Pelodiscus sinensis: one gene and its partners. The protein of the gene in region 1 purifies or fractionates together with the protein of each later gene. This does not show direct contact. Links are inferred from orthologs where the notes say so. Each region holds a gene or a part of one and is shown in the gene's direction. Other genes may lie near its edges. The genes, in order: RHOC, RAP1GDS1 and DAAM1.

Evidence for each region.
Region 2: the proteins of RHOC (region 1) and RAP1GDS1 purify together in Homo sapiens (co-immunoprecipitation; 3 studies listed by BioGRID and IntAct, counting the BioPlex papers as one, with this or other methods). This does not show direct contact. The link is inferred for Pelodiscus sinensis from reciprocal best matches to the Homo sapiens genes RHOC and RAP1GDS1.
Region 3: the proteins of RHOC (region 1) and DAAM1 purify together in Homo sapiens (affinity purification with mass spectrometry; 3 studies listed by BioGRID and IntAct, counting the BioPlex papers as one, with this or other methods). This does not show direct contact. The link is inferred for Pelodiscus sinensis from reciprocal best matches to the Homo sapiens genes RHOC and DAAM1.

Annotation. Positions count from the first base shown.
Region 1 is NC_134737.1:2,006,516-2,016,558, forward strand, and holds the start of RHOC (rho-related GTP-binding protein RhoC), read left to right. Parts: upstream 1-5,601; 5' UTR 5,602-5,677; intron 5,678-9,969; exon of another isoform or gene 9,970-10,025; intron 10,026-10,043. UniProt on the Homo sapiens protein: Regulates a signal transduction pathway linking plasma membrane receptors to the assembly of focal adhesions and actin stress fibers.
Region 2 is NC_134715.1:22,177,032-22,187,331, forward strand, and holds the start of RAP1GDS1 (rap1 GTPase-GDP dissociation stimulator 1), read left to right. Parts: upstream 1-5,685; 5' UTR 5,686-6,098; coding exon 6,099-6,102; intron 6,103-10,300. UniProt on the Homo sapiens protein: Acts as a GEF (guanine nucleotide exchange factor) for the Rho family of small GTP-binding proteins (G proteins) that stimulates the dissociation of GDP to enable subsequent binding of GTP.
Region 3 is NC_134714.1:12,056,463-12,066,237, forward strand, and holds the start of DAAM1 (disheveled-associated activator of morphogenesis 1), read left to right. Parts: upstream 1-5,277; 5' UTR 5,278-5,419; intron 5,420-9,775. UniProt on the Homo sapiens protein: Binds to disheveled (Dvl) and Rho, and mediates Wnt-induced Dvl-Rho complex formation. May play a role as a scaffolding protein to recruit Rho-GDP and Rho-GEF, thereby enhancing Rho-GTP formation. Can direct nucleation and elongation of new actin filaments.

The DNA of each region.
Region 1 (10,043 bases):
AAACTAATTGTTCTCTGGTATGTCTGCCGGAGTCCCTCTCTCTTGGCTCCGCTTTGCAGGGGGTTTCACTCACACCCCTTCTCACACTGCGCTTGAGAAATGTGGTCCTATGTGTCCTACAGACCACTCACAGCTGTGATTGCATTACACACACACACACACACAAAAGCTCTGCATTGCTCCAAGCTGGAGAGCGCCCTGTTTCCCTGAGAAGTCACCATGAGGACCACTCCACAGAGTGGCTAATGGGGCATTGCGGGAGACATGCCGAAGGTCAATCAACTCAACCGAAAGCCTGCTGCACAGTGCCCACTGCATATGTGACTGTCCAATAAAGGGAGAGAGAGAAAAGTCTCATGTGGAGGGGGAAGTTTTTTGCCACCAAAACTGGGCGTTGGTTGCAACTTTTGTTGTGTCAAAATGTGGCCGCTATCTGGGTTTGGGTGCCAAAAAGGAGCAAGGGGCACCGGGAAGTACTGCCTGCTGGGGCTGATCTGCAGGTGGCCGAGCTGGGAAGCCCGGCTTTTGGCTTGAAGAGGAGACGCTGGAGGTGCAGACCAAGGGTCAGCAGGAGCTGCCAGGGGTGGGGAGAATTGGGGTTTAAGATTGCCCCTCCCAGCACGGTGAAGGAAGCCTGAAGGGGTGGTGTGTGGACATACCACCTGGATGGTGCCTGGTGTTTGGGCACCCAATTCCCAAAAGCCTTTGGGTGCAAATGGTTTAGGCAGGGTGTCCTTTTCACTGGCCACACAAGGGCTTCTCTGTGCCAGTTTGCAGAGGGCCCAAGGTGATCTCGGACCACAGTCCTGGGAGCAGGACTCCCTCTTCCCAGCAGTGTTGGTGCTCCTCGGGAGGGGCAGGAAGGCGTAGAAGCCTCATGCTGGGAAGTGTGAGTCATTGCAGGGGCCGGTATAGATCTGGGGGGCTGCTGGAGTCCTCTCTCTTCAGTTCCTTTCTGTGACTCCTGCTTGCACTTTCTCCCTCTCCTGTCTCCAGTGTTAGCAGGCGTGTGCACACACTCTCTGACACGCACACACTCTGACACACGTGCTCTCTGACGCGCTCTCTGACATGCACACATTCTAACGTGCACTCGGATGCACGCGCTCTCTGACATGCACAAGTTCAGATGCACACACACACTGACACTAACATGCACATGCTCTCTGACACACACACTTGACACATGCTCTGACACACAAGTGCTCTCTGACACGCACACACTCTGACACGCTCTGACACACAAGTGCTCTCTGACAAGCACACTCTCTGACACGCGTACTCTCCTTGCTTGCAGGGGAAGGTGCGTTAGCTGCTAGCTGCTGACGAGAAGAAGGGGCATTTGCTTTCCTGGAGCCCAGGCTGAGGGCTGTACAAAAGAAAGGAAGTCTGAGAGGAGCTGTATTTAAATTGTCCTTTTCTGTTCCCTTTCGGTGCAGGGAAATGTTTCCTTTGGAGCCAGTTCCAAATCTGAAACTCGGTAAATTAAGAAAAAATGTCCCTCTGAGGCCAACCCCCCCTCTGAAATAGATCCTGGTCGGTCTGAGCCAGGTCCCAGAGCTGGCTTTCCCTCCTTGCTGATTCACAGCTAGCAGGGGGATTTCCAAGCGGGATACTGGTTATGCTTCGCCTTCCCCTTCCTTCCCTGGCAAATCCCTGTTTGACGGGAAAACACCGCTGAGCCAGGCTGCTGGGTGCGGGACGAAGCAGAAGATCTAACAACAGGCTTGTGCGCGTGTGTTACCCACGGCCACTTCCCTCCCTGCATTGCTTGTTCCCTCCTTGTTGGCCATTGGCTCTGGCGTTGGATTGTGAGGTCCGCCGCAGCCTGCTACTCTGTACCTGTGTCACACCTGCACGAGGGGGCCCTGCTCCTGACGGGGGCTCTGGCACCTGTTTATCACTGGGCAGATCGATCCAGGCCCGGGGTGAGTCCAGAAGGAATGGAGGTTGGGGGAGCGACAGGCGGGTGACAGTGGGGCAAGATGGTAAGTGTCAGTAGGCACAACAGAGCTGGGGTTGAAGTAAGAGGTGGGCAGCTCGCAGGGGGCAAAGAAGCTCATCGGGCAGGCGGTGAGGTGGAGGGATGGTTGGCCTGCGATACAGATTTTAGCAAACCGTGGCACTCCTGGTGCCGTCTGGCAGACAGGGCGACAGACCAAGGGGTCAGGTGCCTGTTCCCAGCTCTGCCACTGACCTGCTTTGTGGCCATGCATCAGTGGTTTCTCCTCTGCCCCATGCCTGCCCAGCCTGTTTAGGCTGTCGGCTCTTCAGGGGAGGGGCCAACTTTTGCTCGGTATTTGCAGGGCCCCCTTCGGCGTGTCCTCTAAGCCTTGCTGTGGATCATGGTGGTCAAGGAGGAGAGGTGAGACAGGCCGGGATGCATGGTGGGATGGTGCAAGTTCCCTGTGTTTCAGGAGGAAAGTGCTGCTAACCGTGTCTGGTGGAAGGGGTTGGGTGACACACCTCCAGCTATTCCTGGACCCGTCCGGCAGAAACATGCTGAGAATGCTGGGAGTGGGTCCGTAAGTGGTGAGGAGGCAGAGATAACAGAAACATCCCCGTGGTGTTTTCCTCGGCTCCTTGTCACCGCTGGAAATGGTTCCGCCGGCTTTGCTCTCAGTAACGCCCAGTGCAACAGCAGACTCTAGTCCACACCAGCCCTGGAATCTGCTATCATCACAACCACAATAGAATCAATCTAGAGCTTTGCGTTGGTAGGAGGTTTTTCACCTAGCATGCGCACGGTAGGTGACAAAGGTGTGTAAGCATCATTGCCATAATTTTACAGATGGAGAAATTGAGGCACAGAGTGGTGAGAGCAGAAGGCTGAGGTTAGAATAATGCCCAGTACTTGATTCCCAGTTCAGTGCTTCAGTCAGTGTACCACCATTAGGTTGTCCCTTTTCCTATTGAGCTCTTCACATCTTGCACTGTCAACCTGTGGAACTCCTTGCCAGAGGATGTTGTTATGAAGGCCAGGGCTTTAACAAGTTTCAAGAAAGAGCTAGATAAATTCATGGAGGCTATTAGCCAGGATGGGTAGGAATAGTGTCTCTGGCCTCTGTTTGCCAGAAGTTGGAAATGGGTGACAGGAGAGGGATTACTTGATGCTTACCTGTTGTGTTCACTCCCTCTGGGGCACCTGGTGCTAGGCACTGTCTGAAGACAGAATTCTGGGCTACATGGACCTTTAGTCTGTCCCAGTGTGGCCGTTCTTAAGAGACCAATGATCCAGCCAGTCTCCTATCCTGACCCCAGCAAGGACCAAAACAGCTGATCACTCCTGGAACGCTGTTCCATTGCAGCTGCACGTCACCAGCTGGAGACCAGCTTCTGCCCTGAGCATTGATAGCTCTACTGACTGTATTAGAGAACACTCTTCTTATTCCCTACAGTGGAAGTCTAATCCTTTCTTTGAATCAATAAGAATTCTTCCTCTCCCCTGAGACACCGGCCTGCTGACAGATGAAGTGACGGGTCAGGAGGACCAGCCAGGTTCAGTCTGTGCTGTATCCGCTTTGCGGGGGCTTACATCACCTTCTGCCCCCTCTTCTTCCAGTTCCTTACTGTGTGATGCCGCACAAAACGTCTACCCTCTGAAATAAACAAAGAGCTTTCTCCTCTTTTTGCTGCGGTGGATGGCTGTAAAGACAGGAAGTGCCATCGCCGGCAGAGCCAGATCCTGTTTCCTGATTCCTGCTTTGGGGTTCTTATTTATGTTCATAAGTGACACTCCTTGCGTGTCACACAGCTGCAGGAATGTGTGTGTGTGTGTGTGTGTGTGTGTGTGTGTGTGAGAGAGAGAGAGAGAGAGAGAGAGAGAGAGAGAGCTTCACATGGCTGACTGTGTGTGAGTGATAAATGTGACACGCTTTTTTGTGCTCCTATTTCACTGAAGCCTTAAATCTGAAGTCCACTGGCAATTGGCCACAGCAGACTAGCTCTGAGACACAAGATAGTCTCGCCACTAGCCATGCAGAAGGGATGAGCTCTTAGATCAGGCTGGGGAACCTAAGACTCAGGGGCCCTATGTGGCCCCTGGCTTGTCTGGATCCGGCCCCCAAGGCTCAGCGCTCCCTGGAGGGCACATATTCTGGGATTATTGCATGCTGGTGCTCCAGCCCTCTGGCCGTCCCCCCATAAGGCTGGAGCACACCAAATCTATTAGTCTAGACTCTGCTATGCGAGGGGAATGTGGGAAGCCTCTTTCTCTTTCTCAGTCAGGGGCCATGTCCGTGAGGGGTTGGTTGGTTTTTGCTTGTGTGCAGCCCCCAACTGGTTTTTCAGTGGCCCCCAACCCAAAAAAGGTTCCCCGCCCCGTGTTAGATACATGGAATCAGATAGCCTGTGTCATGCTGTCACGTGATAGATATGAGATGGACTACTAGGTACAGCTGGCTACCGGCCATGCTATACAGCCTGGCTACTATAAACGCAACGAGTAATCCTGTGGCATGTTAGAGTATGTCTACACAACAGCGTTATTTTGGAATAACATAGTGCGCGTCTACACAGCAAGCCATTGTTTTGACATAATGTCGAGCTGGAGGACTTCTTACTCTGACTCCTGTAACCCTCACTTCACGAGGAGAAAGGGAAGTCGAAGAAGGAGTGCTCTTCCTTTGACTTCCTGCTGTGTAGACCGCGCCAAAAGACAAATTAAGCTATTTCAACTGTGGCTACGCAAGGCATTTAGGACAAGCATTGTCATTGACTAGGGCTTTAGCACAAGGCAGATGTGTCTGGGTGCACTGCGATATAAATGATAAAATATTAGATGGGCAAGATGGGTGTGATATGTTTTACTGGACCACTTCTGTTGGTGAGAGTGGAGCTTTGAGCCACAGGTAGCTCTTCTCCAGCCTCCCAGCTAAATGCAGGGGAGGCGGCCAGAGTGGGCCCCGGGGTGTGAGTGTCTTGGGGAGTTCTTCCTGCAGCCACTGCTCTTTCCTCCCCCTTCCCCTCCCCCTCCCCGGCTTGTGCCCAGTCTCCCAGCTCCCCCCGCCAGCACCCTGTGAGCTCCTCCTCCTCTGTCACCCCCACCCCGTACCCCACCCTGTGCCCCCGCCAGCACCCTGTGAGCCCCCCTCCTCTGTCACTCCCACCCTGTACCCCACCCTGTGCCTCCGCCAGCACCCTGCGAGCCCCCCCTCCTCTGTCACCCCCACCCCGTACCCCACCCTCTGCCCCCGCCAGCACCCTGCGAGCCCCCCTCCTCTGTCACCCCCACCCCATACCCCACCCTCTGCCCCCGCCAGCACCCTGTGAGCCCCCCTCCTCTGTCACCCCCACCCTGTGCCCCCCCTGTGCCCCCGCCAGCACCCTGCGAGCTCCTCCTCCTCTGTCACCCCCACCCTGTACCCCACCCTGTGCCCCCCGTACCCGGCCAGCACCCTGCAAGCCCCCCTTCTCTGTCACCCCCACCCTGTACCCCACCCTGTGCCCCCGCCAGCACCCTGCGAGCCCCCCCTCCTCTGTCACCCCCACCCTGTGCCCCCCCTCTGCCCCCGCCAGCACCCTGCGGGCCCCTCCCCCCTCTGTGACGCCCGCTGCCCGTATCCCCGGGCGGCCCCGCCCCGCAGTACCCGGCGGGGGGGCGGTCCCGGCCGGCCCCGCCCTGCCCGGCTAAGTGCCGCTCGCCGCGGAGCCCGAGCAGCCGGAGCCAGCGCCCCAGGTACCGCGGGGCGGGGCTGTGGGGAGCGGGGGGGGCTCTGTGTGCGGGTACCCGGTGCCTGAGGGGGCTGTGGGGTGAGGGGGGCGCTGGGGCCGGAGGGGTTGCGGGGGGGAGCCGGGCTGGGCTCTGGGAGTTCGGGGTGTGGGGGTGGCAGGGCTGTTCTGGGGGTCACAGGTTGTACAAGCGGGGGGGGGGGCAGCCCTTCTGTCTCCTACTCTTATTGGGGGAGGGGCTCTTACCCCCCTTCTCCCGGGCCGGGAGCCGCCCCCCCCCCCGTGCTGCAGGGGGGCCCAGCTCTGTCTCAGCACAGCCACTGATGCGGGGCAGGTGGGCAGGAGAGGCTGTGCTAGGTGTGCCCGTCCTCCCCTGGAGTGTGTGCTCAGCTGGTGGGGTGGGGAGGGAGACCAGGCAGCTGAGCTGAGCAAACATCCCAGGGAGCCTTTCCCTGGCCAGCTCTTGTTCAGCACAGCTACTTCCCCTGCCTGGGGAGCTGCCGGGGTGCAGAGCAGGAATCTCCGCGTCCCTGTCTGTCTGTAGGTCCAGCACAACCAACAGTCCTGCGGCACCTTAGAGACTAACGGGCGTTTGCTGTGGTGGGTACAATCCACTTGTTAATCAGCCAGTGCCCACTGCTTGGGCTCCCTGGTCGCGCTCAACTGTGGCATGCCCCCAAGCGACAGAAGTTTGCTTGAACTAAGCAGGCTGAAATGGTGGTGGTCTTCCCCATCTCCTCCCCCCCCCCCACACACACACTTGGCTTTTCTGTGTGGGAGCACGCTCCTGGGGTGCATTTTCATGTCCTAGGTGCTGTTTCCTAGTGCTAACAAACAGCATGTCCATCTCCTCGAAGCCTGTGCTCCTTGCTTCCTGTAGGTAGCCTTTAAACATGTGTGTTAGGAGCTTTGTAATGGCTTTGGAGTACAGAAGCATTCCAAAACCATGACTGCGCTGCTTTCTCCAGCCCTAACCGTCTGGCAGCCAAGCCCCTTGAATCCAGCCTTGGCCTCCTGACAACGGGAGCGTAAAACAGTAAGAAGTTGTGAATCAGTTTAGAGTGTGCAGTCTGACTGGGAAACATGTTGTGTGCTGAGACCTCAAGCTGATGGAAACTAAACTGGGTCACAGATAAAGAAAATGTCACCTTTTATGCAAATTGTGAAAAGGTTTAAATTGTGTTACAGGCAATAAACTATTTAAGGGCTTCAGTTATGTGTTCCCACTTATATTCCACTTTCAGTCACGCTTTATTGTCTCTGTGCCAAGTGTCTGCTGGCCTCCCATAATTTTCCTTATAGCTACATGTGAGAGCTAGGGGTTTTAAAGTGGAGTCCTAGATCTAGTAGAAGTTATTTGCTTGCAGAGGTTCTATCAAAATGGAAAAAGCACAGAGTTATGTGACCCACTTCCAAGAGGTTATCAGAAGTTTGTGTAAACAAAACCACATTGTAATCTTCTGTTTGGCATGGAATGCCATGAAATGTAAGGAATGTATTAGACAAATATTGATTGGCCCAACGCGATAGCAGTACAAAACTAAACAGGTAGAAACTGTTCCTGAGGCTGTGATGTATTATTGGGATTTGATATATCACGTACTACACATTCTTATTGAAGAATAAGAAACCTATGCTGCCTTAGAAACCTTAATGTGGAGGGGGAGTTAAGGTCTGTGTTGTTCTCCCCCCTCCCCCTAATTTTTTCCCATCCACGTGCAGATTTTTTCCATCCATATGCGAAATAACTTTTTCTATGTGCACTGGGGCATGTGTGTATGTGCACCACCAGTAGAATCAGAGACCTGGCTGTGGGTGCTCCGCTTATGAGTGGGGGGCATTTGAATCCCTCCTGGGTGACCGCACAAGCACACTGCTTACAAGGATCACTGGTTAAGGTGTCTGTAGACTCTAAAGCGTGGTGGGTTGTAAGAAGGTTTCCTGTAAGACTCCTCTCCTGGAAGACTGAGATGCACTGCAGTGACATCAGCTGGCTCTGGATGTTGAGCAGTTGTTTGCCTCACTTGAAAAGCAATGCCGTGGAACATAAACTTCCACAAGTACAGCTGCCGTCAGCTGAACTCAGACGTGACTTACAGCCACGGAAGTTACGATCTTGCAGCACTTCTCAGAGCAGGGAATAATCCTCGCGTCCTGCCCAGCATCCCTCCCAACACAATGTTATAAACAAACCGTTGTGTGCGTGCCAAGTGTAAAATGGCAGCCAGGTGAGCCAGCAGGAATCCAACGCACTGCTGTGTCACGCATGGGGATGCACAGAGCAGGAAAGGTGGTACTGCATAGAAAGCCAAAATCTGGTCTTTCAGGGTTCCTGCATCACATGAGATCCTGCTCAGCAGGCACCTGATTCCTGGATGCTGCTGAGAATTAATTTATTTTACAAGGAGCTCTTGCTCTGCCATTTGTTTAATGAAGAGCCTTCTAATTGGCAAGCTGCTTCATAAGCACGTCCATACAACAGGTGAAATGCACAGTGGGTGTTGCCTTTGGGGAAAAGACATGAGGGCAAGTCTTGGACCAGGGGACACAAGTCATGCTGACTCCAGATGGAGTCAGAAAAAATGGAAGAAAGAAAGCCGTCTTCAGATCCTAGTAGGGATGTGAGCAGCTAGCTGGTTAATCAGTAAATCTTGCCCATGCGCTTACAGTTAACCAGTGGGGGCTGCTCCAGCCCTGTGCATGAGGTAGGAGGCCTGCCAGCCCCGTTTATTTGGTTAACCAGTTAAATTTCCCATTTGACCAGTTAACTAATTGGGATTAGGATGACAGGAGCCTTCCTTACAGTTTGGTTGCTGCACCTTTTGCTTAAAAGTTCTTGAGTCAGATCCTTGACTCAAAGGAGTCTGGCTTAGCAACGATAAAAGTTAGCTTTTGTATTTGTGTATTGTGACACAAAATATCTCTTCAGGATTGTAGCTCTGCACTTTAATCAGTGCTCAGTAGTAGGTGAGGGACATGCTGAATGCATATGTGATTTATTGATACCTGTTGCCACCTGACTGTTTGTTACTGAGCTGAGACAGAAAGCAAAGGCATCAGTTTCACTTCTGTTTATAGTTGGTTTCTAGACCATTTCACTTTCTCTTTTTCATGAAGCATGCTACAAGCCTTGCAAAGGAAAGGGTTAAATCCAATTCACTTGGTTTCATTACATATTTATTTCTAGTATGAGGATTTGTAGGATCTTTAAATGTAAACTTCAGTTTTGAGATGAAGCTCCTTTAAGAGATAGGTTTATTCTAATAACACCCTGCAAGTGGCCATGCGTGTTTGGGGCCTGGAGGGCCAGAATGGAGGCGTTCATAAGTTATAAAGAAAAGGTACCTGCATCTGTCTGAGACCCAGCATGCCCCTCGAGATGATTAGGTAAAGGAATACAAGTGCTTCTGGGGAAGGTTGTGGGCACAATGCAAGTTTGTGTGGGAGTTGGATTGTTCATATGTGAGGCTCATGCTTGTAGTCATGGGTCTCCTGTGTTAATTGTGAGTAATGATTATTTGCATGAGTAAGAGTTGTAGGCTTGAGCTCTTGGCTTTGTGTAGAACCCAGACTGTGCTGCCTACAGCCTGTATAGATGTGAAATTGTGGTCAATTGCTTTGCCAAAACATGCCACTTTGGTCAGATATCTGAAAACAGGGATGGCTCCAGAAACGGAAGACAAAAAATAGTCTTTGGTTTCTGATGTGTGTCACTGGAAGGTGTTGCCTGTTTCTCTTTTGAGCCAGTTTGAGAACTTTCTTTTTTTTCCTGTAGTTTTTTTCAGAATGGTCATACGTGCAGCATGTGAGTACAATATGATGTTGGGTCATATTTAGGTAGCTATGTGAACATTCTTTCTCATGATGGGTGCTTTTTAAGCTTGACTGGGGAAATTTCCTTTTTCTTTTGACAGCCCTGTGTCAGAAAAATGCATTACTTGCTAGGACCATTCTGTAACTTCTTGAAGGGTTCTATTTCCTCTTGTGACTCAAGCAATTCTAAGGGATTTTATTTGGGCATGTGCCTGTGTGTGTGCCTTTTGCCATCTTGTCTGACCAAATACATTTAGCCAGCTCAGGCAAGGTTGTCTTGTCTTGCTTGATATTTCTGTCGTTCTCAAGAGATATGTGTTTGCGGGTTGCAATGATGTGATGGTGTTGGATTGCGCCTCGGGAATATGAGAAACCAATAGTGCTGATTAGGGGGCTCTCGAAGAAGAGTTTGTCATTTAAATTTGTCAGTGGCTTTCTCCAGCAGCTCTTGCTTATTTATTTCTACTTATCCACTTCCGGTTTTAGGGGTTGGCACTTCCAGAACGGACAGTGTGCCCAGTTCTGAGTGAATCACATCCCAGGTAGGTCCTGCCCTCTGC
Region 2 (10,300 bases), on another chromosome or scaffold:
AGTCGTTCTTACTATCTCTTTCAAAGGATTTCTCGAATTATTCCTCCACCTCACTAAGGAATTAAATGACTGATTGGGGTACATTTAATGGGCTATAACATTGTTCTTTCTAATGTAAGCAGGGTCAGGGTAAGCTCTACTTTGACATCTGGTGGTGAACTGTGGCGAGTGGTGCAAAGGGACTTCAGGGGCTGATCTCATTTGCATAGATACACCCAATTTGCATAGATACACCCATCCCATCTAGAATGTGCTCACAGCAGCCCAAATGGTCACTTTGGCCACTGTGGGTTCCCCAGTCTCTCTGTTATTGAGGCAGGGGGGATAAAAGTGTTTTACCCTGATTATGTGAATCAAGGACAATGGAATGATGGAACTGTTTATGACAGAGGGATTCACCATAAACTAAGTAGCACTCGCTAGACAAGGGGCATGGGTTCCAAACCCAGTCAGATATTGGGGGGGGGGGGGGGGGTTGGGCGGTCTTTGTACCTGGTGGTAAGGGCCTAAACAACACCAATCACACTTCCTTCTCTTTCCACTGTGGAATATCAGAACTAATTTGGATTCCATTAGGAGTCTAGTTGTGAGCTGCAAAGTTGACTTCACTGTAGAGCACTAGCACTGAGGTTTCTCTATTATGAGCTGAACTTGCTGGAGAGTTGAAATCACTGTTGCTGAGGGGAGCCTGGTGTTATGTTGCGGAAGATCTGAAATCACTGTTGCTGTGGGGAGCCTGGTGCTATGCTGCTGAGCTACTAGCAGAGCAGTTTGCAGGGACAACCAACAAGCACAGGTGGACAGCAGAGCGGTTTGCGGGCACGACCAGCAGGTGCAGGCGGACAGCAGAGCAGCTGGTGGGGACGACCTGTGGCCGGTAGGAGCGGCAGCAGCCAGCCAGTGGAGCAGCTGCAAGAGCAACCAGCTGGCGGCCAGGGGCGTGGACCGAGACGGCTGGCAGAGCCAGACAGTTCGTGGGACAGCTGAGGCGGCTCACTGGACGACAGGTGGAGTGTGGTGGAGTGACTCGCGTTGATGGTGGCGGCAGAACCTTACGGAGAGGCAGAGCCATCGGCGGACCACGTAAGGTGTGTCAATCCCCACCCCTCCAGGTTGGGATGGTAAAACTCAGCCAGGTGAACTTTTGAACCCTGGGGCAGCACTGACCCGGGGCAGAGACTTTTGGGGTGTTGGACTTTGGGTGATTTTTTTGGGTTGCTGGACTTAAGAGACTCTTTGGGTGTTGGACTTTTGGGACTTTGGGTGATTTGGGGCTGGGAGAAGGGTCTCTGCTCATGTTTGGTCTATGAATCTGAGTTGTGGTGTTTTCCCAAGTTAATGCTGATGTTGGTTACCTCATGTTATTAAAGGTTTGCTGCTATACTGAGGCTCTGTGCTTGCGAGAGGGGAAGAACTGCCTCTTTGAGGCGCCCAGAGATGTATGTAAGATTTCCCAGGTCACTAGGTGGGGACTTGAGCTGGTGTTGTATTACCTTGTTGGGATGAGACCCCTAGATACTGAACCCAGCCCTCGCTGCTATTAATTCGGCCTGGCAAAAGGGTTACACTAATATCTATCATTAGCCCCAATAAAAACATAATACATTGCTTCTCTTTCCCAGTTCTCCCAAATACTGTACTTGTTTTTAATTATCTTTAATGACATGACCATTTCATTAATTTTAATGAAATTCACACAGGCTTTCCCAGTCATCTTAATACATCATATTTCATAGTGCTAACCTGTTATAGGATACAATGCACAATTGTCTTTCATACAAACTGCATCCCACAAAGCTTCTTAAATAACGAGAGCCAGAGGCTCCCTAAAGTTAGGATATAGTTACAAAGTCCAAGTAAAAAAATATTACTGAAAGATACGGAAATGAATAATCAAAGACAAGGAAGGAAAGATATATTCTAGAAGAAATCTGAAAATTGGAGAAGATTGATGGAGCAGAAGAATACAGAAACCTTTTGCTTCTAGGATAATTTATGAATATCTGTGTTATATCAGCTGTCAAATTATGCAAATTGCAGATAAACAAATATCAAGTTGCTATTTAAATAATGTGCAGATTCAAAGCCCTAGGAAAAAAAATTACAAAACCCATGAATTGCATGTGCAATTTTTTAAATGATTTTTTCCTACATTTTACTAAAAAGATGATGGTATAGATTCTCCTTATCCCCTGGTCATGTATAAATACACAACATCAACATAATTGGATGTACACATAGACCTGTATCTATTCCCAGTAAAGTCAATAGCAAAAGTGCATTTACTTCAATGGAAGCAGGTTCTAGTGAATCATAGAATCCCAGGGCTGGAAGAAACCTCAGGAGGTCATTGAGTCCAGTTCCCTGCCCAAAGCAGAACCAATTCCAACTAAATTATCCCAGCCAGGACTTCGTCAAGCTGGGACTTAAAAACCACTAGGATGGAGATTCAACCACCTCATCCAGGTCACTAATAAAGATGTTGAATAAAACAATTCCTAGAACCGATCGTTGAGGCACTCCGCTAGAAACCGACTGCCACCCTGACATTGAGCCGTTGATCACTACCCATTGGGCCCGACAGTCTATCCAACTTTTTATCCATCTTACTATCTGTTTATCCAATCCATACTGCCTTAACTTGCTGGCAAGAATATTGTGGGAGACCGTATCAAAAGCTTTGCTAAAGTATCATAAGGTTACAATGATTTAAATCAACAAACTGTATTGGTCTGTATCCCACAATCCTCTGTAACCAATAAAGTAATTTGTTAATAAAAAGGAACAAACAGGAGGGTGGAACAGATGCTAGATAGAAGCACTACTGGTATTGTGCAGGGGTAATTTGCAGTTGCTGTAATGTGAGGTTACTGCTGGTCCTATTTTTTTCTTGACTTATTCATATGAGTTGTCCCATTGCTTCCAATTAAACTACACATACAACTAAGACAAGTAGAACTGGCCCTGCAAAGCACCTATTATTCATATTCTGTGTTACTATTCTTAGGTAGTTATTCTGGCAAGGTGCCTGTTAATGTGGAAGACTGGAAAAAATAAAGTACTCAGTGAAGCTCACCTACAAAAATAATGGTTCCAGAAGAAAAGTTGCAGACATAGTATTAAGTCCTTATGAGTAAATATTTTCCTGTCATTCCATATCCAGTTTTACAGAGACCAAATATTCTGGGGAAAACACCACCACCAATTCAATAATACTTCATGCTTCGAGTATTTCATGAGAAAATGCTATGTTTCATACATATCTTTTTGTTTAGAAAAATTTACATTTCAGTTTTAATATTTATGGTTTAGACTACACAAAGCATTTGGTTTTATCTATTTGAGGAAAATTTGTCATATATTTTGCCTTTCTTCCATTTTAGAAAGGGACATTGATTCTTTTGACCACAAAGTTCACCTTAAAATCTGATCTGATACTTTATTCCCCTCCCTCCATTTCTCTTTTTGTAAAGGGCATCTTTATTTGTAAATTGTTTCTATTAAAGAAAATGAGAGAAAATCAAGTTGTTGCTTACTGTTCAAAATCACTCCATCTACCTTTTCATAAGTGTGACATTTTGTTCAAATCCAATATGACACACAGTATGGCTTTTGGGATACACCTTTACCACTGCTTTCTGCTCTCACAGCTAACAGGCAAAAGTAAAAGTATTTAAAGATTACTTTAAATCGTTCCATCTACTGATCACATTCTGGATACAAGTATTTTTAGTGTTTACTTCTTCTTTATGACAAAAAATCACATCAGAAAACCTCAGCCATAGCAAAACAAGTTCACATTTGTGCAAGATTTAGGACTGCTGTGCAACAGTGAACATTCTTAATTTTCCAATAGCTTTTTGTTGAGTCTGACATTTTAAAGTCAAAAAACAAAACACAAAATAATTTACTGTTTGTTCTCCTTTATGAGGTATGATAGCCGAATAAGTACTTTTGGGAGGCAGAAGTTGGCTTTTTTGTTTCTTTAACTCATGTCTTCCTTACATCTTTTTCCTAGAAGACTCTGGGAAAATGAGAGAGCTGGAAATGAGAGAGCTGTTTCACGCAGTGATTCCAAGTCCTCAAAAAACAGTTCTGTCCTCCAGTTTAAAAAATAAGTAAGTCACATCATGATACTGTAGTTTAAATTTTCCTTTTGATCACAATGGTGCAATGAATCCCACTGACATCAGGATTGTATCATTTTAATTGAGAAGAAAATTTTGCTGTTTTTTAGCAGAAAAGAAGCTACTACAGAGTTCAAATTACTATAAACATTAAAAACAAAAACAAATAAAAGCCCACTATCAAGAGGTCAGTTTATTATATATATTAAAAACTAACAAACATAACCCCACTATGAAAAGGTCAATTTATTCTAAATATTACAAACAATAACAAAAAAAACCAGGTGCTTTCTTTTTTGTGATATCTGTACAAATAAGATTGTAAATTCTGTGGGTGGAGACTTTAATAAAATCTTGTATCTGTGAAGTATTATGCACATCTTGGACATTTTCTAGTAAGGTTTTATACTGTTACCCATCACTGAAATATGTGAATGTCTTCCATTTAAAATCAATAGCAATACTGAAAACCTGATTAGAATGTATGATGTCTCTGAGTCATCTCCTTTTTTGGGGGATCTGCTTGGGGGTATGGTTTTTGTTTAGATTTTTTTAAAGAAACAATTAAATTCCTCTTTTGAATGTTTTGATTAGCAGATGTTTAGGAATCAAAGAGATGGAAGTGCTGTGAGTGTCATTCTTGTGGCTGAGAGTCTATTTTTAAAGAGGAAATAATTTATTCTTCTATCATTACTTTGAAAATGAAAAATGGGATCAGACAGCATGTGTTGAACATGCTTTTCCTTGCCAGCATAGACCTAGATATGTTAAAATCACTTTAGGTCCATTTACTAGGTTGGTTTCCAACTGTGGCCTTGTCTTCAGTGGAAAACTAGCCATTATCCTGAAGCCATTTTTTACAAAAGAGTTTCACAAAATCCTGCAAAACCCCAACAAAGAGGTTGTGTTAGCCAGTGCTAGTTCATGTCGAGATGGGTGATGGAGAACTTTTTTTTTTAAATGATACTCTGGAGTATTATTTAACCAGACGCTGTTTACAAGGGTGGAATATGAATCCAATGTATAGGTCTTTACAAAACAGATGCAATTACCTGGCTAGATGGGCATGTCTCTGCATAGCTACCTCTTTCAATGCAAGCTCTAAACATGACAGAGGATAGCATATCCAAATGTAAAATGTAAATCTCCTTCCCTCATTTTCTCTGGCTGCCTTAACATGTCTGTTAGCATGTTCTGCAAATGATAAAACAACGACGAAAGAAGAACCCTCGTTTATACGAAATGACAATTGCTCTAATTCTGCTCCGGGAGGCTATGGGGGGAGGAAGGCTGCACAGGATCTGGGCTGCGCGGGCTGTAAAGCCCTTGGCATCGTATCGATCTGGACAGCTGAGTTTGTCTGCAAAGCCTCCGGCGCCCTATGGCTTTCTAGCCAGGGCGTCTGGATCCCCAAGGGCAGCCCGCGGGTGGGCAGGGCACGGAGAGGCCCGCTGTTCCGCACGCCCTGCAGGCAGCCCGCGGGGGAGAGGCCACGCGCGGAGGGGAGGCACCTCACTCCAAGCGGCTACTTTTCCGCCACCTCGCTAGCGCTGCTACTGTGCGTCTCTGCGGCTGCCTCCGCAGCTCCTCCTCCCGGGGCTCTGGGTGTCGCTGGGCCGGGTGTCTCCAGAGGAGGGCCTTGCCCGGATGTACTACACTGACTCATAATCCAATCGACACAGGCAGCGAGACACACACACTCGCTGCGCTGAGCTGCGCCCGCTTCACTCTCCGCCTCCCGTCCCCGACAGCAGCGGCAGGGCTGGCCGGGCCCCGGAACGCGCGCAGCCCTCCCCCTGCCGCCGCCTGCCCAGGGGCTGCTCCTGCCGCCGGCCGGCCGGCTCGCTGCCGCAGCCGCCCCGCCCCAGGACCCTGCTGCTCCCGCCTGTCCCCCCCCGGCCGCTGGACTGAGGCGCAGGCGGCAGCTGCCCCTAGCAGGACCCAGAGAGCGGCTCCCCTCCCGGCAGGAGCATGGGTAAGTCGCCTTCCTTCAGCCCCCCCAAAGTTATGCCCTATGCGCCCTGTGCTGCAGCACCCGGGAGGCGGGAGGGCCTGGGCCCCGTGATGCCCAAGCAAGTCCGCGGCTCCTCTTCCCATCCCCCTTCCCCGCTCCCTGGCTTCCGTGCGGCTCCCTGTTTTGCATCCTCTCCCCCGTCGCACTGCTCCTGTTTCTCCCAAGGCCGGCCCCTTCCTCCCCCTCCCTCTGTGGCGGGCCGGTGGGAGGAGGAGGAGGTGGAGGAAGACGACTTCATGCAACTTCCTCAGCCGCTCTGGTGTTTCCCCTGGCGGCCGAGGAGGCTCAGGGTGCAGTTTGCTTTGGCAAGGGCTGTGCATGCTCGGCAGGGAATGCGGGGACTGGGATGGGGAGCCATCTCCACCCAGCCTGGGGGTGAACCAGGCGAGTGAAAACACACCAGTCCCTGCAGGAGGCAGCGACTTGCTCCATGCTGGACTAGCGGGGGGTTTACAGGGTGTGTTTTTCCTGGGCTGAGCTCCGTCTTTTGATCACTTCAGGGATAGAGAAAGGGGTGAGGTAGCAGGAAGCTGAAAATAGTCAGGGCACCTTATTTCTGAACTTAAATCAGCGGGTTTCCTTCTGTTCTGAAATGACAGTGCAAAGTTTCTGCAGGCTCGTGTGATACTGCCAGTTCAACCGTCCTGCTGGCCTTAGGTAGGCTGAATGTCAATTTTAATAAAGGCAATGCACTCAAATATAAGTTGCCTTACAGTTTATGGATACAGATTTCTTAGGTGGAAATCAAATTCTCTAAGTATCAAAAGGAGATTTGGAGCAAGTAGTCAAATAGTTCATTCAACAGACTGAGTTTCGCCTCTTCTGTTTGTGTCCTAGACAGCTGGATAATACATTACATAGACTACTTATGTTCCAGTCTTACCTCTGGTGTTCCTCTGCATGGAACCACAAAGATCTTCATTTTTACCCTGCCCCATGATTTTTAAATCACCACGTGTCTTGTGAAGAACTGCAGTCATGTTATCTGGCTGTTAATTCCAAAATCTTATTTGCTAATGGAGACCTCCAAAACAAACACACAATGAGCTAGAAAGGAGTGCTTTCTTATAGCCCAATGGTATGAGTGCTGAGGACACTATAATATACCTCATTGGGTTTCATCAGGAATTAAAGACAAAGCATCTCTCCCATAGAGGCAATGATAGTGCACTCTAATAGTTTAAATGCAGGCTAAGAAGTCAGCAATTCCTGAAGTCATAATCCTAGATCTGACACTTACTTCTGCTGCTGCCTTAGATGAGTAACTGGTTTCTTTTGAGCCCATATACATCTTTTTGCCATTTAGTAAATGAAGATTTCCATAGATAGTAACAAACTCTATATTTTAGTTTCCTTGTCTGTAAAACAAGGATATTGCTTACCGGCCTTTCAGGGCAGTTGTGAAGATTGTCACTTTTATAAAGTGTTTGGAGGAAGAAACCCTCAGAAGCAGGTACTGAACTTTTTCTTGGACATTGTGATAGGGTTCTAGAAGTCTCCCATTTAGTTGAGATGAAAGGACAACTCCTTGACAACTAACTAGGAGATATTTAAGGACACTGGTCATTCCTACTTTTGTGATCAATGTCATAATCAAATTGCTAGTACAGAATGAATGCTGCATTGTACTCTACAAAAGGTTCCATTCCAGTGGTGGGTGAGTTTGTAAATTGCTCATGAAATCTTTCTAGCCAAAATTATTACATTAGCAGAGATAAGATGACTAGGAGGGTTTCCATTCAGTGTCTGTCAAGGATGCTCCTTAATTGTCCAATGCTTGTCTGTATTTCCGCAGTGTTGATTTCCCGGTAAATCAATCTCCCCGGGTTCAATTTAGGGGCTCTAGTACATAAATCAATCACTGATGGCGCCCCCATCGACTCTGGTACTCTACGGAATCTTAAGGAGTAAGGGGCGTTGACGAGAGACAATCTCCCACAGTGGAGATGCCATGGAAACTGGACCTAAGGTATGTCGACTCCAGCTACCCTATCATATAGCTGGAGTTGTGTATCTTAGGTCAACTTTTTTCTTTAGTGTAGACCTGACCTGTCCAGAGAGATTACTGTTGACTAATACAAGAAATGCCCTGCTCTTATTTTTCCCCATCCCTGCACGCATCTGGACCGTATTCTTCTGCCATTTAGGCCAGTGGCCAACTTATAACCTCCTCTGTAGCAGCTCTTGTTGTTCTGAAGAGCCAGTGACCACAAACAGAATCTTCCCACAGCCAGCTAGAGGTTTTCTGTTAATTTTTTTTAATAGCAAACATGACAACTTTGAATGTTTAGAGTCTCTTGATTTTGTGAGCTTAATCATTGTAGTTGCTGTCCCTGCTCAGCTCCAGCATGCTCTCCTACTTTTATTTGTGCAATGCATAACTATTGGAAAGCCTCAGAAAGTAAGTATTGAGGATGAATTTTTGCAACACTAAAAATATCTTCTTCAAGCTGCTATTAACTTGGTAAATCATACTTAAAAATCAAGTATTTGCGGCAAAGAGAACTCAGAGTGTTTCATGATTTAACATACTGAATATTCTACACTTAATAAGCAGGTCAGAATCGGATTAGTAGATTTATCCACTAATGATGTAAAATGGAAGCCTTGGAAAACATTCATATTCCAATCAAAAAATTTGTGCCATTAAAGAGATTCAAATGAACACGTGAGGCTGTAGGAGCTCTGCTGTTAAAATGCCTTTCTTGTCACTGAGGCACCAACAAATTATTTCTCTGTAATCATTCTTCTGGCAATGATTTGCTTCTGTAGGATTGAACTTTTTCCTATCATACTTGCCCTTTGCAAATTGTGCTTTTGTCCTTTGAATTTATATTTAAAAGTATTAATTCAAGCATTACTTTAAAAATGGTTGATTTTTAGTCTTAAACATTCCTTTTGCATGTTGCTAGATTTTTTTTTAACTGTTCTTGGAAATACAGCATTTTGAGCACTTCGGATGACACTCACGGCTGTTGTTTTCTGTACCTTTTCTAATGAAGATTACTTGTGCATTTTTACAATAGTACCTCTTGGTTGGTATTTTGTATCCAGCTGCTTAAAGATTAATCTCTTTATTTTACTTCCTGCAGCATAACTTTATGTTTTATCAATCTTGCAATGATACTGTGTCCTAAAAGACTTCACTATAAAATTATATGACATTTTGGATGATGGATTCAATTCATTCTTATTATGTATATTAATTTCTACCTGCAGATTAAACTTTATGGATTTAAGAGGGAGTCTGCATCTAAGTTTCTTTATGTCTTTCTACAGCACTCAAAACAATAGCTTCTGTGTGCCTCTTAAAAACGCCCACCTAAAACATCAATTCTGTCTAGATGGCTGTCTTATTTAAAGTATAGCCCTTTAATCTGTTCTCCTTTTGTTACTGACTCAAATCCAATCCAAAGAGAAACCTGAGTGAATAGAGATTTACATTGCCCATTTGAGGGCCCAGTTCTTTCCTACAGAGTCTGTACTCACCATTCAGTCTATGTGTTTCCTTGCAAAGTGTACAAAATGCTAAATATGCTCAGGGAGTGTCAGGATTTGTGTCAGCCGGGTGTTGATGGTGTTGAGCTATCACGTACAAACTCTGGATTGTAGATGGCACACTTTGGCAAAGATATAGTCCCCGTTTTCAGAAGATTGCTTTTGTGCATGCTTCCTTCTGTTCACCTTTTAGAAGGAGCGGAAGTGTGTTTCAGCAGGAGAGGCTGAATGCAGTGTGACTTTGGTGAAGAAAGGTTGAATGGGATTAATTTATTTTTCAAAAAAAAGATGTGTAGAGTGGCAGGAGGATGGAATTAAGTTGAAATAATCTTCCATTCTGAAAAGGTTCTTTTTGCTACTCCTCTCAATACTGTGCAGGCTATAGGGGAGAGTGGAAGACTGCTCTGGTGATAATGGGTATTGCCAAACTGGGAAAGTAAAATGTACTGCAATCATAGTAGAACTAAGAGGGTTATCTTATCAGCCAACTTCTTCTGCAGCTGTCCTGGATTGAATTCCATGGTTTGTCCACTGTCAGATGATAATATGATCAGTATCTTCTCCTTCCCTAAAACAGTTATTTTACATTAATATTTTAGATAAGTGGTCATAATTCACCACTAATCATCTTTACTGAAGGAAGACTGAAAACTATAATAGT
Region 3 (9,775 bases), on another chromosome or scaffold:
AGACATAGCCTGGGTTATAGCTGAAGGACCTGATGTTCAGCAACCACAGTCAACTCCAGTTCCCAGGCCTTGTTGCTAGTTCCCTGGATTCCTTTCTACCTTCTCTATCTTCTGCCTCCCAGGTTATCACTAAAATTTCCTCTGCTCCCTGTAGCTATTTCACCTCCTCTCAGGTTCTTGCCAGTCCATATTCTCAGGCAGCATCTCAATGGGAGCATCTCACATGCTTAACGTTAAGTGCCTGCTGAAGTGCACTTTGGTTTACCCCTCTTAGTGCCATGCCATGCCTTGCTGTGATTACTCACCCCCTCATATCCCTCTCTTTAGGTCTGTCTGAGCCTAACTGGGCATCATCAGCTGTTATGTTAGACCTTATCAACCTTGACTCTTTCCCAGGTGCAGCCTGTTAAGCATGAATTGGCCCTTTTTACTTAGCCAGGCCTTGGGTGGAGTAGACATCCCTCCACACCTAGTATCAGAAAGACAGAACAAAACATACCGTCTTGCAGTTGAAGGCCTGACCCAATTCCAATGGAAGCTAATGAAAATCCTTCAGTGAGTTTCAGAGGAGCGGGAGAAGGTGCCCGGCCTTCAGAAAACAAAAAAATGTGAGCCTTTGTTTAGATGTGTCCGCTGCTGACAAGTCTGCAACCTAGCCCAAGCAAGGATTAAATAAAGCCTAGTGGCCATTTTTCTGTTCAATCGACCAGTTGGGGGACAGGGCAAAGATCTACAGCCATAGAATCTGCTGCTATTTTCTCGTCCAAAAGCAGACCTAAACAGTCAAAAGAAATGTGACCGTTCTTCATTCAGTTACCAATTGCTGGATCTGCACAGTCCCTGACAGTGTCCTTTTATATACTAACCACAATTTCATGTCAGCAGCCACATGACAGCTATGCTCTAGGTCAATGAGCAATATTGATCTTATATGTGTCTAATTCAGAAAATATATTGGGTCTAGTGAGCCCGTATTGGGAGACTTTTCTCCAGCAGACAGTGACTCAATCTAGTCAGGCGTAAAATCAATAAATAAGGTCACACTTAAAGGCTGTGTCTACACTACACTGTTTTGTTGACAAAAGTCAGCTTCTGCAGACGAAACAGTGGAGGTGTACCCACCATGATGCTCTTCCCGCTAGTTTAACTCCCCTGCTACCCCAGCAAAATAAAACCACATTGTCGAGCAGCATAGAGCTTTTTGCAACATAGTTTAGAGAATGATGCAGTGTCACTGTAGATGGCGTGCTTGCTTGTGTAACCCTTCTGTGAGGTGGAGCCAGCAGTAGGTAGGGCCAGGTTAAATATCTCGAGGTTCCTCTCTATCCATCCTATGCAGAACTGGCTTGAGCCAGTAACCTGGGAAATTCTTGTATCACCCCTGTGCACCTCTGAGAGGCAATGCTTCACTGCCCTGCTGAACGCTCATCGCATCTGTCCACCACCACGCTGCTACCAATTGTCCACACCACCACCACCACCTTCCTAGCCTCTTACTGCATCTTTCTGCTGCCGCTCTGCTGGCTGCCATCCACCTCTTGGCTGTGACTTCGGACCATCAATCTCAAATGGTTTCAGCTCCCAGTGATTTCAGGCAGGATCAGTGGTGAAAGTAACTTAAAATTTCTTACAGGCACTGTCCTATTGCAACCCGGGACTTTTGCCAGAGCTGCGCACCAGGGCACGTCTACTTACTTTCACCTCTCAGCAGGATAGAAGAAACACAACGCCCAAGCAATTCACATAAATAAGAAGCTCTTAACAATGCCTGTTTAACTCGGTTCTTTGAACAGTGGGGGGAACAAGTCAAACAACTCCAGGCAAGGGAGGAGATGCAGCCTCCTGACCAGAATAACTTTCCCTCACCCCCTCTCTTTGGCAGAGCTCTAAAAGTCAAGCCCCTGCTTAGTTCTAATAACTGTGAGCCATTGCCTTTGGAACAATGCAGTACAGTCCTACGTTTCTGTATTCTGACAATATTACAAACATTGGTAACTGCTATCCCTGCATTTAATACAGACATAGCTCGTGTTGGGTCACAAATTAAGTTGTATTATAAGGAACAAAATACCACTCCATCCGTTGAATAGCTGGCAAATCTAAGCAAAGGAGGAGCAAACTGTATTTGCATAAACTCATCCAGGGACTCTCTCCCCTTCCAACTAAATGTGATGGAAACATTCCCCCAGTTCCTGCTTACATCTGTGTCACCCTAATTGGCCACCAGGAGGCATCCCACAATGCTCATCATGACTGCTTGAGTTAGCAGTTTGAACTCCGCTGCCCTGCAGCTACACAAGCATGCACCCCCTTTGCTGTTTAAAGGCCTGGGAAATTTTGCTGAGGCAAGTGTAACAGAAGACAAGGAAGGGCAACCACCACTCGGGTGTACAGTTATACTGCTTCTGTGAGGAGCTTCATGCCATCTTCCATGGTGCCCACGCTGCCAGGAGCCCAGTGGATACTTCAGGGGGATGGAGGCAATAACTAGCAGGCTCAACCCTGAGGACAAAGTAGTGGATGAGGAAGGAGAGTTGGAGGAAAATGTGGGACATATAAAAAGGGTGTCCGGTAGCATGGCAAGCCAGAGCGTATTTTTGGCTCTGGAAGGGGTCTAGCTAGTTCCCCACACCAATATCCATCAAACATCTTGAAAAAAATGTCCGTTGTGGATATGTCATTCCAAAGGATTACTTGTACCTTGCGCCAAAGCACCTGGTACTGACTAGTGCTGGAAACAGAAGACTAGATTAGATGGACCACAGCTCTATTATTGTACTTCTGGTGATATCATTATGGGTCTTGGGTGTGAATGCAAAGCAGATATTGGTCCTAAAGAAGAGAACAATGTTAAAATCTGGATAACTTACTCCAACCTGTGCTTCTCATATTACATTGTGTTCTATGCCGTGCGTGTCAACTCCCATAAGGACGTTCCTCCTTTTTCTTTTACTGTGTTGTCACTGGGTCTTCCTCATACCTCTGTGGATGTATATATTATGCATCTGGTTGAGTATGAAATACAATCCTAATGGATATATTCGCTTCTTGCCTTTTGTACCTTTTGTGTACTGAGAAGATGTAAGAAAACTTGCCTCCTGCACCCAAATTTGTGTTTTCTTAGACAAAAATATTACATATGATTAATTTTATATTGAATTTTAATTTGCTCCCAAATGTACAATTAATCCTCTGGTCGACTGTCCACAGCTTTATCTTGTGCAAAGAGGTTATTTTAGAGTCCCAGTTGTATACTAGCAGTCCAGGACTGCTGTGCTCACTTAACTGAAGTTGGATCTCTTAAAAGAATCATTTATAAAATACAGAATGACAACCAGAGAATAGTGTAGGCTGGGAGAATTTTCTTGGGTCACATTAAAAGTAGCTCAAGTACTGTATTAATCTTGGGTATACATGACAACTTGCATCACAATGCTGCTGACAGCACAGTTTAATAGAACATCCCATGTTATCATGTGAAAAGGAATATTGGACTCATTCTCAGATTTATTTTATTTTGGTGTTTTTTTGTTTGTTTTCCCTTGCTGGCTCAGACCTCATTAAAATAAAAAATCCTGGAAAGATCCATAAAGTTGCTGTCTAATCCTGCTTCAGATCCCTTCTTAAGACCTACTTTTGCCATGACATCTACAAAGTGCTACCCCACTGAACATGGTGAGATGGTGGACTGTGTTCTCCTGAGGTATGATTTTAGGCTGATTTTATTGTTAATGCATCCTTCCCCTCCTTTCCATTGTTCCATCCACTTTAATCATAACCTAAGCTCTCCCTGGTCCAAAAGCAGTGGCACGTCACATCTGCATAAAGTTACATATATGCATAAGTGTTTGCAGGATCAGGGCCCTAAATTGTGACCTCTGGTGCAGTGATTGGCTTTTGACTGCATATTAGAATGGTGCCAAGCAAGATGAGGCTGTGCCCTTCGACAGGGACTCTGGGTACTACTGCAATACAAATAAAAAATAATAAATCTGGTGTTGTACCATATCTTGTGTGCTGGTTAAAAATGGTCTTAGCACGTTTATGCCTTTGTGCATATGACTTATTATATTTTGAATATTTGTACATATAATGTGTATTCGCTACATGCATCAATAAGGAATACAATTTGTGAAATGAGGCTACACATTTTTAAATGCAGATTCTGGCTTTCCAGCATGACTGCAAAGAGCACATGGCTGTTTCCCATGCAAAAAGCACATGGCTGTTCTGAGAATGTTTTAATATTGCTTGTTAAAGGGGTCTGACGTTATTTGTGTGCAGGTGATTTTTTGGGGGAGTGGGTGATGCAGCTTTTAGGAGAAAAATTTTAGTCTCCTGGATTATGCATGTTAAAAGTGATACTAATTTCTGGGGTGTTTCTAGCAGTTAGAGGAGACAGAGAAGCCCAGCTGCAGGAGCACTGAACAAAGAAGTGTTGCCTGGTATTAGGGAGGCAGTTATTACAACAGCAGCTGACAACTCTGTCTCTGGCATGAGAAACTGCTGGGGCTGTGGATTTCACCCTGTTATTTCTAGTGAATGACTCCGTTATTGTGGCTGATTAGCCCAGTGAACTGTGTTCACCACGTTTTGATCTGTCCCTGGCGCAATTGTTTGCCAAGCCTTGGCCAGGGAACTTTTTTGTATAAATCCTCGCTCTACAGAGCAAGTGGTTCCAGGGTAGCCCTCTCCAGCCCCTGCCAAACAGAAGCAGCATGCTGTCAATGAGGGCAGTGTGTGTGGAAGAAAAGGAGCGGTAATTTGGAGGAAAATCAGGGATATTTGTTGTGCAACAAGAAGGCACAGCTGGCTAGGTGCATGTGAAGGGGGAAGACTGGGGACAGCAATAGGGTGATGTCCCCCTGTGCACAGCAAACTCTCCCCTAGATTTGTGCCAGATGGGGGGCGGAGGATGAGTTGCCAACCTTCCAGGCTTCCCTTGGCCTCTCCAGGAATTAAATCTTTAACTAGAGATTAGAGCATGTGACGAAACCTCCAGGAATTCGTCCAACCAAAACTGGCCACCCTATGGAGGGGCTGCGGCATGACAAAGGGGACATCCCCACTGCAGCAGCGGCCCCAGCCCCCCTGCCAGGCACACTTCTCCGCAGCGTGCCCACTGGGGAAGCATTCCAGCTGGGGCTGGGGATGGGGGGGGGGAGAGGGCGCTTGGGAAGTGTAGTCTCCGCTGGAGCGCGGCCCTGGCCAAGGCAAGGCGGCGCCGCACTACAACTCCCAGCGGGCGCTGGGGCGCCCCGCCCATCGCATGCGCACTCCGGCCCACCTGGTATCCTATCAGGCCAAGCGGGGATGATGTCACCTGCGGGCTGGCGAGCGCCCGGGAGGCAGGGACCGAGCAGCTGCTGGTGCAGGCAGGGCGCCGCCGCTGGCTGCTGAGGATGCCCGGGCTCCGCAGGTAAGAGCGGGCGGCGGCGGGGGAGCGCCGGGGCTGGCGGGGCTCGGCGAGCCCGGGGCGTGGGGCTTCGAGCCGAGCCGGGCTCCCGCTCCGAGCCCGGGGAAGCGCCGGACCGGCCGCTGCGGGTGGGACAGCGGCGGGTCCGCGCGGAAAATGGCTGATAGCAGGCGCCGGGCAAAGGAGGCTCCGGCGAGCTTCAGCCCTTGCAAGCCGGGCGTGCCGGGACCGGGCTGGGCGAGCGGCGGGGGCTGCTCCGGCCGGCTAACAAAGGGGGGCGGCGGCGAGAGACGCTCCCCGCGGCTCCGGCTTGGGCGCTGCCTCCTCCCCCGGAGCAGCGGCCCGCGCCTGGCCGGCCAAGGGGCAGTGGAGGGGCGGGCGGGCTGCACCTGGGCGGCAGGAGCTGGCGGGGGTCCGAGCTCGGGCGCTGGGTGGCAGCGGGGCGCCTGGGGCCCCAGGGTGTGACCTCCGCGCGGACGGAGGTCGGGGGGGGGCTGTGGCTGCCTCTCGCTAGGACCCCCCCCCCCCCCCGCAATGCACGGCCCAGCCCGCTGCACCCGGGGAGCCAGCTGGGCGGAGAAGAGGCCAGAGGTTTCCCCGGGGGGGTGACACTGACACTGCGGCTGGGTTTCCGCTCCCCGGGCCAGGGGGTCGCGCCCCTGGGTGCTCGTCGGGGCAGGAGATGAGCCGTGACCCGGGGGGCGCGGAGCCCTCTGCTCCGGGAGCGGAAAAGCACCTGGGCTCTGGGCTGAGGAGCTGTAGGAAAACCCAGCGAGCTGCTGCGGGAGACTGGTAGAGCAAAGGGGTGTGTGTGTGTGGGGGGGGGGGGGTCACTACGAGTCAGGTTGCTATGGTGACTCCTACCTCTGGAGCCTCTAGTATTTCCTCTGCTCTGTCTTTTGGGGAGGGTGTGGCTCGTGGGTGTGCCCAGTGCTCTGCACATTCACCCAGGGGAAGACTTCCCACTGTGGGGAGGAAGTGAGGGGTGGGCTGGAATGGACCTCAGAGCACTTGGCTGTGCCTCCCCATTGTACAGGCTCTGGCCTGTGTGTGAAGCAGCCTTGGACTTAAAGGTCCTGGCCTTGGCTCAACTGCATGGGCATCTATGATGGGGCCCTTATGGAGCCAGCAGTGTCCCGCCTGCCTGTAGCCGGCAGCCTTCTGCTAACTGGTGAAGAGAAGCCACTGAACCAGAGAGTAAAAATGAACAGTTGGGAGAGGAGAGAACAGGAGCTAGGAAAGTGGGGAGAAGGACAGTGTGTGCCATTGTTGCACTTGGACATGTCATGAGTTGAGATGAGGTGGGGTGGAGGGAGTACACAGCAGTCTCCATCAGTGCGCTGAGAACCAATTGCCTGGCTGATTCTCTTTCTTCTTACTATTCCCCCTTGGTTGCTCCTTTGTGGGCAGTGAGGATGCCATGGCGCTCTGTTTCTCTAATGGCATCTGAGCAGACATGTGGGGAGCATGCACAGTATCCCCCAGGGTGTTTGTCTATCCTCCTGCTATCGCATCCACTCACTGATGATGTGTGGCAAGAGGAGTGTGAGTGGTGGGTTTTTAAATATGATTTGTATAGTCACAAGTTCAGAAACTTGCTTTCCACATGTGCTTTTCCAAAGTCTCTGGTTGTCTGGCTGGTAGTTGGGGCCTTCTTGGAGATGCATATTGTTGCTAACAGAGTAATTGTTATGAGGACAAGTATAAGGAAGACTAGAGGACAAGTATAAGGAAGACTACATGTCACTCTACAAAATGAAGAAGAAAAGGTCCCTTTCTTGAGGATTTTTACAGTCTAACTCCACACTATGTTGGTGTGTGGTGGATTATAGTACATACTAAAATTATTGTTGTTTGTATTGCCATAACAACTAGAAGCCCCAGTCATAGAGCATAACCACATTATTGTAGTTGTTGTAGAAACAGAACAAAAAGAGGGTCCTTCCTCCCCCCCCCCCTTCGGGTTTACAAACAGTTTTAACACACCAGTGTTAGAGATATCAGAGCTGTTAGTCTGAATCTGCAAAAGCGGCGAGGAGTCCTGTGGCACCTTATAGACTAACTGAAGTGTTGGAGCATAAGCTGTTAGTCTATAAGGTGCCACAGGACTCCTCGCTGCTTTTGCAGTGTCAGAGAATGGTTCTGTGGTTTGAACATAAGACCGGTGAGCAGGGATCTGTCACAGATTTGATCTGTGACCCGGCGTAGTCACTCAAGCTTGCAGTTTTCAATGGTGTCCATTCAGTTTGGATGCTCCCATGTTTCAGTGACTAATTTGATAATGAGGGCCTGACCTTTGTTGGCTTTTTTATGTTTTGTCTCTGAAAGATGCTAAATGCGTGGATACCCCACACCTCTGAAAAATGCTTATAAGATCCAAATGAAGTAAAGGTTTCATACTCAGTGTCCAAAGATGAACATGTAAGAGTTGTAGCCTTTTCCCAAAAATACTGGTCTTCCAATACTGTATATTACAGCTTTTATAATAGGGAATGTTGTCAAATTTAAATAACAAGGTAAAAAGTGGAACTTCTGTTCCTCCCTTCCCCTCTAATATTATATTAACAATTTAATGTACCAGAGGAAATGTGTCTTCCCACTCCTGTGCTTTGTCAGTTTGAGCCTTCAGAATATCTCCTAGTGATGTTAAAATGCCAGAAGTTTTCTGGAGATGTTAAAGATTCATTGGTTCAAACAAATCTCAATCTCCTTGTTTGGCTAGATACTACACAGAGAAGAGAAAAAAGAGGGGTAGATGTTGGTGGGGATTACCCAGATGATGATAACTGGGCCTAACTGCCCATAAGAGGAGAAAAAAATATATAGTTGTTACATCTTCTAACTCAAATCTTGAACCAGTCATGATCCATCCAGATGCCTGAGCTATCCTGTTCTGCCAGTTTATCCCTGAGAGATTCATTTTGATACTGCATGCTATATCCCTAGATGCTGATTTTTCATACTGTACTGTTGAGCCAGAAATGTCTCCTTCCACTTTCTGCAAGTGAAACTTACAAATTACATTTCTTTATAACAATGAGCCTCTGCTAAAGGGATACGTGAATTGTCTTCCTGCAAGCATGGAATGTGTCAGTTCCATGAGGATTAAATTAGTCCCACAATGTCAATTTGTTACCAAAGTCTGATCAAATTTCCTGTCAATCAGAGGAAGGAACTATGTCTGCTTTTTTTTTTTTTTTTTTTTAAAGCCAAACATCCATCTCCCATATTTTTGTTTTGATTAAATCAATTTCAGAGGAGTAGGTATTGTGCCTACACTGAGTATGCTCTGTTTGCAATTGGCTGTCTTCTACTGGGACAAAATTGTACAAGCGATGTTAAGCTTTTCTATTCATTATTTAACTATGGCTTTGATCTTCTAAGGTGTGACTTCAGTGGCAGCTGAAAGCACTCAGGACTTAGCTCCTGGGTTTTTGCGGATGGACTCAAGCCCTTCCTCTTGTGTTACTGTAGGAGGTCCTTTGCAAACCAGGCATACATCCAGTTTTAGTATCTAACTTGGACGCTGTGCTGGCCCCAGTGAAGTAAACAGGATGGGTAGGGGTAAGGTAGTACAGCATTTATTCTTTGATACTTTAAAACTGATCTGAGGCTTGTTTTCTTCTTGCTTCCAGTGGGAATGAGGGACTGTAGCAGGAAGATGCCCTCTTTCAATTCACTGACTGCTAACGCTTCTGTGGCACTCTAGATCAGTGATTTTCAAACTACAGCCTGTGACCCAATACTGGGTTGTGGAATGTCAGGCACTGGGTCAGGGGGGTCAGGTGACCAGCGGGGGTGCTAAGGCAGCTATCTGGCTCCACAGACTGCGCTGCATCCCAGAAGTGACCAGCAGCAGGCCTGGCTCCTAGTTGGGGTGGGAGTCGGGGGGGGGGGGGGGGGGGAGGAAGATAATGTGAACATGGCTCTGTGCCTGCCCCAAATACTCCCATTGACTAGGACCTGCTGCTGCTGGCTGCTTGTGTGGTGCCAGGAGAGGCAGGAAGGCTGCCTTAGCACCCCTTCTAACTGGGAGCTGCTTAAGGTAAGCCCCTTCTGCATCACCCCTGACCCTCCTCCTCCAAAGTCCTCTCCTCCTTAGCCCCACTGTGGAGCCCACACTCTAGTCAAATTGTGTTGGGTCGAGGGTACCAATAATTTTCTTCAACTGGGTCAGGAGGAAAAAAAAAAGTTTGAAAACCCACTGCTCTAGACAGCCCCTCCCTTAGAAGATGGGAAGGTGGCAGAGGAAGAGACAGCAAGTCTGACTGGGTTATGTTTATCTCTTTGCTTGTTTCCTTTCTGAGCTGTCATTGTTTCTATTCACCTCCCAGATCCTCCTACTGAAAACAATCAGGA